Linked DNA regions of Saccharomyces cerevisiae S288C. Changing the gene in region 1 together with any one later gene gives a genetic interaction. Each region holds a gene or a part of one and is shown on either strand. Other genes may lie near its edges.

Region 1 (5,880 bases):
AATTATACTTCCAGACAACACAGGGGAACGGAGAAGGAATCAAGAAAAGTAATTGTAGATTGCAGAAAGAACAATTAAAAGCTGCAAGAAGCATTACTTTTTAGCTTAATTTGCGGTACTTCATCAATTCGTATATCTATAAAAATATATTCAGAGACACAACTAGTTCACCTTCAGTTGGAGTATTCAATTTTTTAAAAAGTTCAAAAATGAAAGCCTTTAAAGCTGTTATGTTTGGCTTCTAGTGTGTACGAGCAATTCTAGTACCCAGCAGCTGTAACAAATCCATCGAGTAGTGCAGCAAGACCAACTGCTCCTGGATCTGGTAATCCACCTTCGCTGTCGAGTTTTCTCAGCTCCTCCTTAGCCACGTAAGAAGCACGCCCAACAAGGGCATCCATCTTCCTTGTCTTTTCGGCACCATCATAAGCAGCTTGGGCGGCGGCTCTGGGACCCTTCCCGGCTTTCAGCGCTTCGACAAAAGGTTGCAGAGCATCGATCAGAGTCCTGTAACCAGGACGGGCTCTCGTATACTTATACAAAGCATCTAGTGCAACGTTTGATGCCTTTTTGAAAGTTTCCGCAGTAAGTTCCTTGTCCCCAGAATCCCTAACTCCTTGTGCGAGAGCAGAAAGATAGATAGAGTACAGACCACCGGACGTACCACCCATAGAATCCTCAACCATATACGCAATATCTTCGATACCAAGAGCAGCATCCTCGAGGCGCAACGTATGGTTTTTAATAGCTTCTTCCAATGCTTCACCACCGGACACAAGAGTAGTTCCGCAATCACCATCTCCTGCAATGGTATCGTACCAAGTAACCTTTGGTTCAACCTCGTTAATTTTTGCAATCCCAGCAAGCAAAATTTTAGCAAAAGTGTCATAATCAGCTTTCACACCCGAACCTTTTTCATTCCTCAATGTCTTTAAAGAGGGGGCGGTGGGAACCTGCCCTTTGGCAAGTACCTCCCAATCTTTGGCAGAATGGTACATTTGATTCCATCCACTCGCTGTGGTAGGATAATCGAAATACTTAAGGATATCGCCACCAGCTTTTGAAGCGTTCATAAGAGTGATACCAAACCCAGGACCATTCAATGCAGTAATGAATGCTCCAGTAATCGTTCTCTTGGGCACAATTTGATACTTATCAATCAATTGTTCAGAAATGACCTCTGCAGCATAACCCAATTCTAGATTAGACATACCACCCATGTTGTTAACCATAAGAACTACGTCCTCTTTGGGCTCAAACTTCACATAAGAACGGTCTTCATCCTCATCGAGAAGAAGAGGAAGCATCTGGGAAACGAGCTCAGAAATCGATGGCAGCGGAGAAGACTTATAGGTACCAGACTCGTTATGAATACCCATACCGATTTCATACTCATTCTCGCCCAAAATGGCTTCAGGTTTGTGGCCAGGAACCGTGCAGTGATCAAGAGATGCCGCAATTGTGACACTATTGTCAACTACTGACTGAGCAACTTCGGCAACTTCTGCCAACTCCAGTCCATGAGAAGCGGCTGCCCCAGCAATTTTATGCACCAATACGGTGGCTCCGAGACCTCGACGCCCGACTAAAGAACCTTTCTTCTTACCGACAGAGACATCATCTCCTACAGCAACCAGTTCGACTTTCATTCCAGCAGCTTTAGCTCTTTCAGCAGCGAGACCAAAATGTATAATATCACCGGTGTAATTTTTTACAATGATCAAGGTACCCTTAGGAGATTCAACAGCTTTAATAGCAGAATAGATCTGTTTAGTTGAAGGAGAAGCAAAAATGGCACCTGCTGCAATCGCATCTAAGGCACCTTCACCAACAAAACCGGCATGCGTTGGCTCATGACCACTGCCACCTCCAGAAACCAATGAAACTTTAGGAGGGTTCCCTGAATTAGGAGCTGACGCAGTCCGGAAAACCACTCTGTCGTGCTTAATCACTGTAAGGCCGGGATTGCTTCGAGCAAGGCCAAGTAGGTAGGGAGTAACGATGTTTCCATCTGATTTGAATTGTTTGTGAGACATGATTATTTAGTCAATTGTAGTTGGGTTTTGTCAGATTTTGAGGTAAAATACACTTTACAGACAATACTAGAAAAAAAAAGGGCTGATCTGGGTTCATTTATATATATTTAATGATCCAAAGTTTGAAAATTCAATCACACATTGCGGTATTTTCCCCTTCTCGTATTGTTGAGATCCTTATACAATATCAAGTACTTAATTATCCAACTATGGTGACGTAAGAATTTACTTGGCTCAATATCTCCCTATTTGGTACTACGATACGATTTCATGAAATTATGAGTTAAATAATTTAGAATCTAGTTATGGCCTGGCGGGAATTGTTTCTGTGCAGGGATTTACTCACAATCACCCTCTGCGGGAATAATATGCATAGGTTGTGATTAATTTTTTAAATTAAGTTCCATCAGAAGGCCTAGTTTTCTCCGTTGATAACTCCGCTCCGGAATATCATAATTTTCCGGTACCCCACTTACCCCGGAAATTTGAGTTATAAACGTTGTTTGAGCTTTACCTAGTCTTGGTCGATCAAAAGTTCTGGTACCTTTTCACCATGTCTCCCCCTTATTCATATAAAAAGAAGCGTATAATCGCACAGTATAACGCTCCTCTGATATATGATCTAGACCCAAGTAATGAGTTACGAATCTGGGAGGTCATCCTCCTCTTCCGAGAGTACACGGCCACCAACGCTAAAAGAAGAACCTAATGGTAAAATAGCTTGGGAAGAAAGTGTCAAAAAATCTAGGGAAAATAACGAAAATGACAGCACTCTCTTGAGGCGAAAGCTAGGTGAGACTCGAAAAGCAATTGAAACTGGAGGATCATCGAGAAATAAACTTTCTGCTTTGACACCCTTGAAAAAAGTGGTTGACGAGAGGAAGGATTCGGTACAACCACAGGTCCCTTCCATGGGTTTTACTTATTCTTTGCCTAATTTGAAGACTTTAAACAGTTTTTCAGATGCTGAGCAAGCACGTATAATGCAAGATTATCTATCCAGGGGGGTAAATCAAGGCAACAGTAATAATTATGTAGACCCACTATATCGGCAATTAAATCCAACTATGGGTAGTAGCAGGAACAGGCCTGTTTGGAGTTTAAATCAGCCGTTACCGCATGTATTGGATCGAGGCTTGGCAGCAAAGATGATACAAAAGAATATGGATGCAAGGTCCCGCGCATCATCGAGACGAGGGTCGACCGATATTTCAAGGGGGGGTTCTACTACGTCAGTGAAAGACTGGAAAAGGCTCCTTAGAGGTGCAGCACCGGGTAAAAAGCTTGGTGACATCGAAGCTCAAACGCAACGCGATAATACTGTTGGTGCAGATGTGAAACCTACTAAGTTAGAGCCTGAAAACCCACAAAAGCCCTCTAACACGCATATTGAGAATGTTTCACGTAAGAAAAAGCGTACTTCGCATAATGTCAATTTTTCATTAGGCGATGAAAGCTACGCATCCTCCATAGCCGATGCAGAATCCAGAAAATTAAAGAACATGCAAACCCTCGATGGTTCTACTCCGGTTTATACGAAGCTTCCTGAAGAACTTATTGAAGAGGAAAATAAAAGTACGAGTGCATTAGATGGTAATGAAATTGGTGCCTCAGAAGATGAAGACGCGGATATAATGACATTTCCTAACTTTTGGGCAAAAATTCGCTATCATATGCGAGAACCGTTTGCGGAGTTTCTCGGGACACTAGTTCTTGTCATTTTTGGTGTTGGTGGTAATCTTCAAGCAACTGTAACAAAAGGTAGTGGTGGTTCCTATGAATCCCTATCATTTGCATGGGGGTTCGGTTGTATGCTTGGTGTTTACGTCGCAGGCGGTATTAGTGGTGGTCATATTAACCCTGCTGTTACGATTTCAATGGCAATTTTTCGAAAATTCCCCTGGAAAAAGGTGCCCGTATATATTGTTGCTCAGATTATCGGTGCATATTTTGGAGGAGCTATGGCTTATGGTTATTTTTGGAGCTCTATCACAGAATTTGAGGGAGGTCCGCACATAAGAACAACGGCGACCGGTGCGTGTTTGTTTACTGATCCAAAGTCTTACGTCACGTGGAGAAATGCCTTCTTTGACGAATTCATAGGAGCCTCTATACTTGTGGGTTGTTTGATGGCGCTATTGGATGATAGTAATGCTCCACCTGGCAATGGTATGACCGCATTAATTATTGGATTCTTAGTCGCTGCAATTGGTATGGCCCTTGGATATCAAACAAGTTTCACAATCAATCCTGCAAGAGATCTCGGTCCTCGCATATTTGCTTCCATGATTGGCTATGGTCCACATGCTTTTCATCTCACACATTGGTGGTGGACATGGGGAGCCTGGGGTGGTCCAATTGCCGGCGGTATTGCTGGAGCACTCATATATGACATTTTCATTTTTACTGGATGCGAATCCCCAGTCAACTACCCAGACAACGGTTATATTGAGAATAGGGTAGGTAAACTTTTACATGCGGAGTTCCACCAGAATGATGGCACTGTCTCAGATGAATCTGGTGTTAACAGCAACAGCAACACTGGCAGCAAGAAATCTGTGCCTACTTCGTCATAATTAATATTTTCAATTTTTTACGATTTATAACCTAATTATTAATTTCACGAACTTATTATTTGACGACATACTACATCCGGGAGCCGTGACTTTGTTACCATCTCTTACTTGTGCTCTAAATTCTATCGTTTTGTTTTTGTAATAAAGAATGAGACTGCCTGCGGCTTAATTGTCTTTTTATTGTAGGCAAGAACAAAATTCGACTAATACGTAAAATTAAATGTCAAACCAGGAGTCTCACATTATGTTATTAATAAAAATAATAAAATTTTCAGCTCGTTGACGATAGGAAAATTCCTGGCACCATCAACTAGGTAATCCCACTGAAGATGTGTTTTATATGAATATGTGCTATATTTACTAATAATAAAGAGCAAGTTGCCAAATAAACTAATTGTGCTCAAAGAAAATTATTGTCATTATCATATATTTTCTCATATGCAATTTCAATCAATTTTAGACAAGTGATTATATATATGTAAACGGTTGTTTTTTGATGTTACGTTCTGTATGATTGACCAATGCTATTTTTCTCATGCGATATAAATTGGAGAAGTGCCATATTGATTTACGTTACTCAAGTTGTCAATTTCAGCCTGACGTTGAAAAAGATAACAAAATTTGCTCAGATAGGGGCAAAAATCACACTGCCAGCAAATATTTTAAGGATTGATACTTTGGCTAATCCAAGGCCAAAGCAGAAAAATCTATCACCTTTTTCAATTCACCCAACGTTCTCACTAAATGGATGAAAATTCGGTAGATTCTTATCGTATATTTCGTACCAATAACTTGAGTATACCGAACAATAATATAACTCGGCAGTCATTTCCGGCTATACCGTTTTCAGAAAGAGGTTGCCTTTTGATAATGTGGCCAAACGAGGAATTATCTGTTAAAGCCATTATTACATCTCTCAGCAAACTAGTTTTTTAAAGCCACCTCAGCAAAAAGCGCGACCAGGACTTCTTCGGATGTTCTTGGCGTTATTTTGAGTCTTTTGTTTGTTTTACTAAAACCCCCCTAAAGATTAATTATTCTCAAAAATAGTTAACAGGCTGTCTGTCGCCACTCGAAGTCCGGAAAAATGTGCACTTATCTTTTAAGTCCGCCTACCCCGCATCTTCTTTTCCAGGATATTTTTCTCCGAGCACAGAGATTCCGCAAGAGTTTAAAAGTACAATTAACCTTTTATCTTTAAGCTTTTTTTTCCGGAAATATAAGGTTTTCGTCAGGTAAATTTATTTTGGGAGCAGCAACAACATATT
Region 2 (3,284 bases), on another chromosome or scaffold:
TATATGGCAAAAAAAGAATTTTTTATGCCACCAACACGACGGCATATTCTGGAGTGATTATAGCCACTGCTAACAAGATAAGGCGGTAACACCCGATTGTGCAGATGTCCTCATTTATCCTGTTTCCGAGCATTTGATTAACCGTCTCTGTGAGACCAGTTAAAGACCTCTCTCAAGAAAAATATGTAAATTTTTTTCAGCCACTTTATCGGCACTGGAACGAAACGATATGGTATTCCCAGTATCAGCCACGGCCCCGTGTAAGCCGTAAAGTAAACAAAAATTTTTACCACTAATTTCGTTGCGTATCAATTTATACTATTCTTTGTGAAAACCTACACAGACTACCAACAGAAATTTTTTTGGTCAAACGAGTCCAGTCTGGTTATTCGCTGGTTCATGTAAAATGTTAGCACCATCTACAGATTCCGAACATTAAAATCGTATTATGCATAATATAGACATTAATGAGCAATCTGTTCATTACCCCCTTATCGTATGGCAACAGCTATTCCTGATGTAATAGTGATGTTATATTGCTTTCGCCATTATTAATTTTGAGGAAGCTTTCCAAACAGATTACATAGCTAACTAATTGCAATTTTGCGACGCCATAAGGATACGCGATTTCCTCCTTTTCTTTTTCGCGTTGTTCTGTGCGCTCTTTTTTTCAGCCAAAAAGGGTTCCTGAACAAAAAGACCCTGTTTTTTTTCTGCCTGTTAACTCTGATCTTAAAAAGTTACCAATTTTCTAACATTTCTCAATAAAGACCCTTCGATAAACAAGATTCTTGAGAAATAAAAATTTTTGTGACGTTTACTTTTGAAAGTCCTTGAAGAATTCATTACTAATAGAGAAAAAATGGTGATAATTTTTTTACTTCACCTCCTTTCTACTATCCCTCTTATTCGGATTATCTAGCTTTAACTTCGCCAGTTTTTTCTTGACACACTTCACAGATGATGGTGCCTTCATGTCGGCATGACGCATTATCTCCATACTAAAAAATGATCCGACAATATCTCCTTCCTATTTGATCAGCCTCTTATCGTTCGTAAACGACGTAACTTGACGGAGAACGGAGAACTTGTTGAATAGAGAAGAGTATGTCGGTAATTGATCTCCGATATGAGCGAATATAAAAGCAACATATTTGCTGGTATGTAGCGTAGCTTTTCTTTCCAATTGACGGGACATCGAAACAGTATATTAACCGAGATAAAAATGACGACTTATCAAATCGATGTCAATGAAGGAATGAACAAGTCCCTGGCCGACTTGGTGGCACCATAGCGCCCAGAGCCACTCAAAAATTACTGTATAAGTAACACTAATTTGATAGATGTGGTAAGCGGTGTCAGTCTCCTCGGAGCTTACATCTTCATAGAACAGGGTGTCATTTCCAAGGTCGAATTTGGTTCTGAAAAGCCGGTAACCGTTGATGAAGTTGCCTTTGAAATTATTGACGGCACCGGTAAGTATGTCACTCCAGGTCTGATCGACAGTCATGTCCACATTGCGTCGGTTGCAGGAGAGGCTGATCTGACCAAGTTAATGCTGATGCCAAAGTCAGTTGCATTACTCAGAATAAGATACACTTTGGAAGCCGCTCTGGCAAGAGGTTTCACAACAGTGAGAGACTGTGGGGGTGCAGAAGGCTTTCTGAAAGCAGAGATTCGTCAGGGATCCTTGAATGGTCCCAGATTAATTACGTGTGGACATGCCATTTCCCAAACTGGTGGTCATGGCGATCTGAGATCTGGTGCCCTACCTGCTAGTGCCTTTGACAGCTGTTCATGCCACTTTGGTCAAGTTGGTGTTGTAGCAGATGGTGTTCCCGAATGCTACAAAGCGGCCAGAGAAGAGTTTAGAAGAGGTGCAGACTTTATTAAGATTATGGGTGGTGGAGGTGTGGCCTCTCCAACTGACAAAATATCAAACAAACAATTTTGCGACGACGAAATAAAAGCACTTGTAGATGTCGCAAATAGTTACCACACATACGTAACAGCACACGCCTACACTGCGGAAGCGATACAAAATTGTATCAAGTTAGGTGTTAAGGGTATCGAACACGGAAACTTATTAGATGAACGTACCGCAGAGCTTATGGCAGAATTGGGTTGCTACTTGACTCCAACACTAGTTACCTACAAAGTGATGGGTTCTGATCAATTTAGTGCATTCTTGGGACCTGAAAATAGTAGAAAAAATACAGAGGTGCTTTACAAAGGAATTGATGCAATGAAAATTGCCCAGAAAAAAAAAGTTAAAATTTGTTTTGGTTCAGATTTATTGGGTCCTCTATATGGTTATCAAACGCAAGAGTTTCGTATTAGAGGGAAAGTTCAAACGACACAAGAGATTTTGCTCTCAGCAACTGTTACTCCTGCCGAAATGAACGGATTAGGCGATAAATTGGGACAGATTAAGCCAGGGTTCATTGCTGACCTACTGATGATGAAATCAAATCCGTTGGACGATATAACGATTTTGGATGAACCCGAGAGCAACATACTATTTGTCATGAAAGAGGGAAGGATATATTGATGTAGTTATAGTTGTTTTCACAGTCAGCATTATTTCTGAATGCTAGAAGCCTTTTTTTTTTTGAAGTCATAATAAAATATTTGGCTTGTAAATTTAAGTATTGAAGTCAAAATATCCTACTTATATCACAGTGAAATGTGAGGTGGATATGGCCCTTTAGGGCCCTTAATTTTACAAGTTACAGAATCTTTTTTTTTTTTATAGCATTTGTAAGGTCCGTGTATTCAGAAAAAAATCCAAGCTTAAAAAAGTGTATATAACATTTGGTATCTGAAATACGGATCTATCATAAAATAGAACACCTCAAGGAGGTATAAATTTTAAAAGTTTTTTTATTGTATGCTCGTGCCCGTTTTTTCTTAAAGTCGGAATTTGTTATCGAACACTTGGCATGCGCTAAAGATCGTTAATTTACAAAAATAAGGCGGATGAGATGCCTCCGCTAAATATTGCAGGGGTCGCTTTGAATGTTTCGACCAAAATGTGCTCTAAAATATAGAAATATCATTATTAACAGTATAATTAAACGTTGAGATAAAGTATTTCAAGTTAAGCAATATGAAAGGATGACAGAAAAGAAAATAATTTCTTAATATTACAGAATATGAACTAAAGTTTGCTATTACGTGTGCCAAATTTTGAATTAAAACTTGATATGAACCTCTGCAGGTTTATTATTATGTTTTCATGATTACCACCATTTATCATAACCAAATGTCTCACCTTTCTTTAA
Region 3 (3,916 bases), on another chromosome or scaffold:
AACGTTAGCAGGGTTATAAGCTTTTAAAGCCGGATCATCCAAGGATACTAAGATTTTTTTCTCACCTGGAACAGTTTTGTCAATAAATTCAGGGATTGGCTCAACTTCCTTCTTTTTCTTAGGTTTCTTTTGAGATGCACCTGTGGTGGCAGCAGCATTTTTTTTAGCTTGTTTGGCAGCGAACTTTAACAGTTTTTCAGCCTTTTTCTTCTCTTTTTCAATTTCCTTAGGAGTCTTTGGAGAGCCATCTTCCTTTAACGGATTAATGATGACCTCACCAGTCTTTGGGTCAACTGGAGGCAAATTATCAAGATCGCTCATTTTAAAGAACCTGACTTGATTATGAGTTAACGACTTCTTCAGAGAAAAGTTTTGACAAAGTGGTAATGATCGCCTATAATGACAGTTCAAAAGCCGAAAAGTGAATGTCTTAGATAATGTGTTTAACCACTTATTCATACCATCTAAGTAATTCCATAAATCTGAAGGACATACAACAACGATGACAGCCAGTGGTAGCACACACAGAGAACACCAGTAGGCTGTATGGGTGACTCTTCTAAAAAAATTTTTTCAGCGCGGTCTCTCGAAGAACTTTACCCGGTTTTTCTTTTAATTCATCACCTCTGAGTTGCTAGGTCTCTTAAACGTTCAGAGGTAGCATGACTTAGTATTCTACATATATATACATATATTTGGATATATTTGAAATTCTAAATGAAATAGTTTTAGTTTAGTTTTCTGTGAGAGAAATGTCATAGGTCCTGTAGGCCTTTTGAAACTTTTCAGCCTCTATAGTCTCTTGTTGCTTAGTTTGTAAACAGGTTGAAGAATTCCATTTCACCCTGCGTGGCAAGTTAAGTAAAAAGGCTAGTACACGTCGTCCAAACTGCAGATCTATTGTCTCACTGGCATTAAATGTGGCCAAATATATCTTTGGGTCCGCTTCAGGAGTCTCGTAGACGGTAAATTGTAAATAATTATTGGATTGGTTGTTAATTACATCCACATATTGTTTGGAAGAGTGTGAATCGTAACATTGGAACTCTAGCTTAGCATTTCTTGTGAATTTTTCGTTATTGAAATGAACCTGTCTATCTAAGGCACTGCAGAACTTTAGAACGAGGTATTTTGGAACGGGAATAACTTGTTTGTGGAAATGAATAGAACGTTCAGACTGTATTTCGAAGACAATCGTGCACATATCAAATTTTATGTAGTTCATCTTCACAAGACTAGCTTCATAAGCCAAAATACTCTGTGTCAACTCTGCGTTCTTGCTTGGATCTAATTTCGGAATATGTTCAATGGGAATAATGAGGCAATGGCCTGAGATATCCATATCACCCTTAGGAACACTTAAAGGTCCCTTCGCTGTGGTTAAATACACTAGTTTGCCGATTGATATTATCATATGATCCTCGAGGTTTGGATTTGAAAAGCAGAAATGACAACTTGACGGCAAAATCGTTCGAATTTTTTTATTTTCATTCTTTTCTCTATTAGCAAGTACCTGTTTGTCTCCATCGAACGAATTCTCTGTTTCTGTTTCTAGTGGCCTTTTATTGCTGTTTGTAACCACGCTATTATACGGGTTAGCTATCAAGTTGGGCGGTTCAGGTTCATCCTTTAGTTCGTTGTCCCCTATTGGCATATTGAATGCATAGGCCCATTTCTTTCCAGATCCATATTTTGGAATATTGAGGAACCTCGATAAGCGCTCTCTTTCCCACTGGAAAGGCTCTAATTCGTAAAAGTTTATTTCATCTGAAAAGGCAAAATGGTACCTTGCTTGTAACTTTTTCGCCAATTCATCAACAACTTCACTTCCAGACAACCTTCCACATCTCTCAGAGATCGAAAGGCCCCATTCTTTTGTAAGGAGAATGTCTACCTGATCCTCACTTTTGCCAAATTCGTCCAGTATGCTTTTTTTCTCCCCTTGAAGAGTATCATCCGGATAAATAAAATATGAAAGAGTGATTCCATTTGCTAATTTATAAGTACCCATATTATGCAGCAATGTTACATTTTCATTTATCTTTTTGGATTTCGAATTGTTAGCCTTATCACACGATAGTAGTATTAGTTGAGGTAACCCATCAGTATTCAGCTCAAAATTTTCATCATACGAGTTACTGAATATAATTATTAGATCAAAGGGCCCTGATTTTTCATTCACTTTCTTGATCTTTCTGATAGCCTCATCGGCATCGCTTTCACTTATATGAGCTACTAAAATCTTTGCATTTGTCATCCTATTTTTATATGTAAGTTTTTGAAGTGAAAAAGATATCAGTAAACCATAAGCCCTTTTTTATATATTATGGATCCTTCTAAGAGAGCTACCTTGCGTTTTTTGTACATCTAGCAATGTAGTATCAGTCCAATTTGTAATTATCATTGAAAAAACAATTGATGTTAACACCCATTCCTTTTCATTTTTTGCAGATTTTCGATTAATAGTGGTCATTGCTGTTTTCCTGTAAAACATTACCAAGTTTCGCCGCTCCCAACATGAATGCTTAAGTTTAGTTCAAAACGGTCATGGGATGGACCGTTACCGTGAACTGAGATTTTAAACAATGGGCTTGAAGTCCTAAGTAATGCACAACTATATATATATATATGTATATTTATGAAAAAAGCGTTCATAGGTGCTAGTTGAAAAGTTTGCATGAAGCTCGTTAAAGCTAATTATATCGCGGCGAATGCAAGACAAGAATTCATTTTTACGCTAGTAAAAGGTTGAAAAGGGGTCTGAGTGTTCCAGTCCGTTGAATAAGATGCCACTGGAACCCTGTTTACCATTTCTATGTCGGAAAGTGAACCCAACAAGTTTTGATGATACTGCCGAGTCATCTACCATAGCCGTTAATTTGTCTTGTCTTTTGAAAACATCAGCATATTTGGCCATGTCAGCCTCACTGGTGAAGTCATCAAAATAACCGGCATCAGTTTCGCTGTCTAGTTGGGGTGTAAAAGGCGGGATCATTGACCTCAAAGTACTAAAGTTTATATCTGCAAAATAAGACATGCGTTTAACATGTTCGAAGGATCTTAATCGATTGATTGGATCGGCAATCAATCTTGTTATTAAATCCCAAGTTCTATCGGAGAATGCTGCCCTCCCATCAGATTGTCTCGGTCTTCTTAAAGTTTGTTTCCAGCGCCTTAAGTTGTCATAGGTCTCATTAGTCGATGATCCACTAAATGGTGTATAACCAACTAAACTTTCGAACAGCATACAACCCAACGACCAGTAATCCACAGTAAAGTCATATTTCTTTCCTTCTAAAACCTCCAAAGCCATATAATCCGGAGACCCAACCATGGAGTTCGCATAATTAATTTCCTTCTCCCTCAACTGGTTGTACATTTTTCTTCTATCTTCTATAGATTTCTCTGTAAACGCTGGAAATTCCAGGTCCTTGATTTTTTCTAACCTTATCTTCATACTTTCAATTCTTTCATTAGAAATCGTACCAGCAGCCAAACCAAAATCTGTTAATTTTATATGTCCCTTGGCATCGATTAAGAAGTTTTCCGGCTTTAAATCTCTATGTGTATAGCCTAAATCATGTAACGCATTAACAGCGCAAAACATTTCACTGATGTAAAATCTCGCATGGCCACTTTTCAAGCATCTAGTATTTATTAATAATGTACGAAAATCACCGCCTGGTACAAATTCCATAGCCAGGTATAAACTTTGTAGGTCTTGGAATGCATACAGAAGTTTTACTAACCATTCAGACCTTGTCGTGGTTAGGATATCTCTTTCAGTTAAAACGTGTTTTGTCTCGTTGAGCTTAAACAATAGTTTTTTGTTCAAAATTTTCAAAGCACACACCTCTTTTGTGTCTTTCTTTCTGGCTAAATAAACTTGCCCATAACCACCTTGACCTACTTGTGT

Evidence for each region. Genes that interact genetically often act in the same process or in processes that back each other up.
Region 2: mutations in AQY3 (region 1) and YJL213W together harm fitness more than expected from each alone (negative genetic interaction), as found in Saccharomyces cerevisiae (one large-scale study listed by BioGRID).
Region 3: mutations in AQY3 (region 1) and DRN1 together harm fitness more than expected from each alone (negative genetic interaction), as found in Saccharomyces cerevisiae (one large-scale study listed by BioGRID).

What each region holds. Positions count from the first base shown.
Region 1 is NC_001138.5:19,579-25,458, reverse strand, and holds AQY3 (Aqy3p), read left to right. Parts: upstream 1-2,671; coding exon 2,672-4,612; downstream 4,613-5,880. Other genes in the region: DAK2 (dihydroxyacetone kinase), read right to left, coding at 261-2,036. UniProt on the Saccharomyces cerevisiae protein: Channel protein that mediates glycerol entry under ethanol stimulation. Does not seem to mediate glycerol uptake under standard conditions.
Region 2 is NC_001142.9:30,608-33,891, forward strand, and holds YJL213W (uncharacterized protein), read left to right. Parts: upstream 1-1,555; coding exon 1,556-2,551; downstream 2,552-3,284. Other genes in the region: oligopeptide transporter OPT1, read right to left, coding at 3,243-3,284.
Region 3 is NC_001139.9:668,729-672,644, reverse strand, and holds DRN1 (Drn1p), read right to left. Parts: upstream 2,258-3,916; coding exon 734-2,257; downstream 1-733. Other genes in the region: VAS1 (valine--tRNA ligase), read right to left, coding at 1-459; serine/threonine-protein kinase DBF2, read right to left, coding at 2,738-3,916. UniProt on the Saccharomyces cerevisiae protein: Involved in branched RNA metabolism, modulating the turnover of lariat-intron pre-mRNAs by the lariat-debranching enzyme DBR1. Enhances the debranching activity of DBR1 in vitro.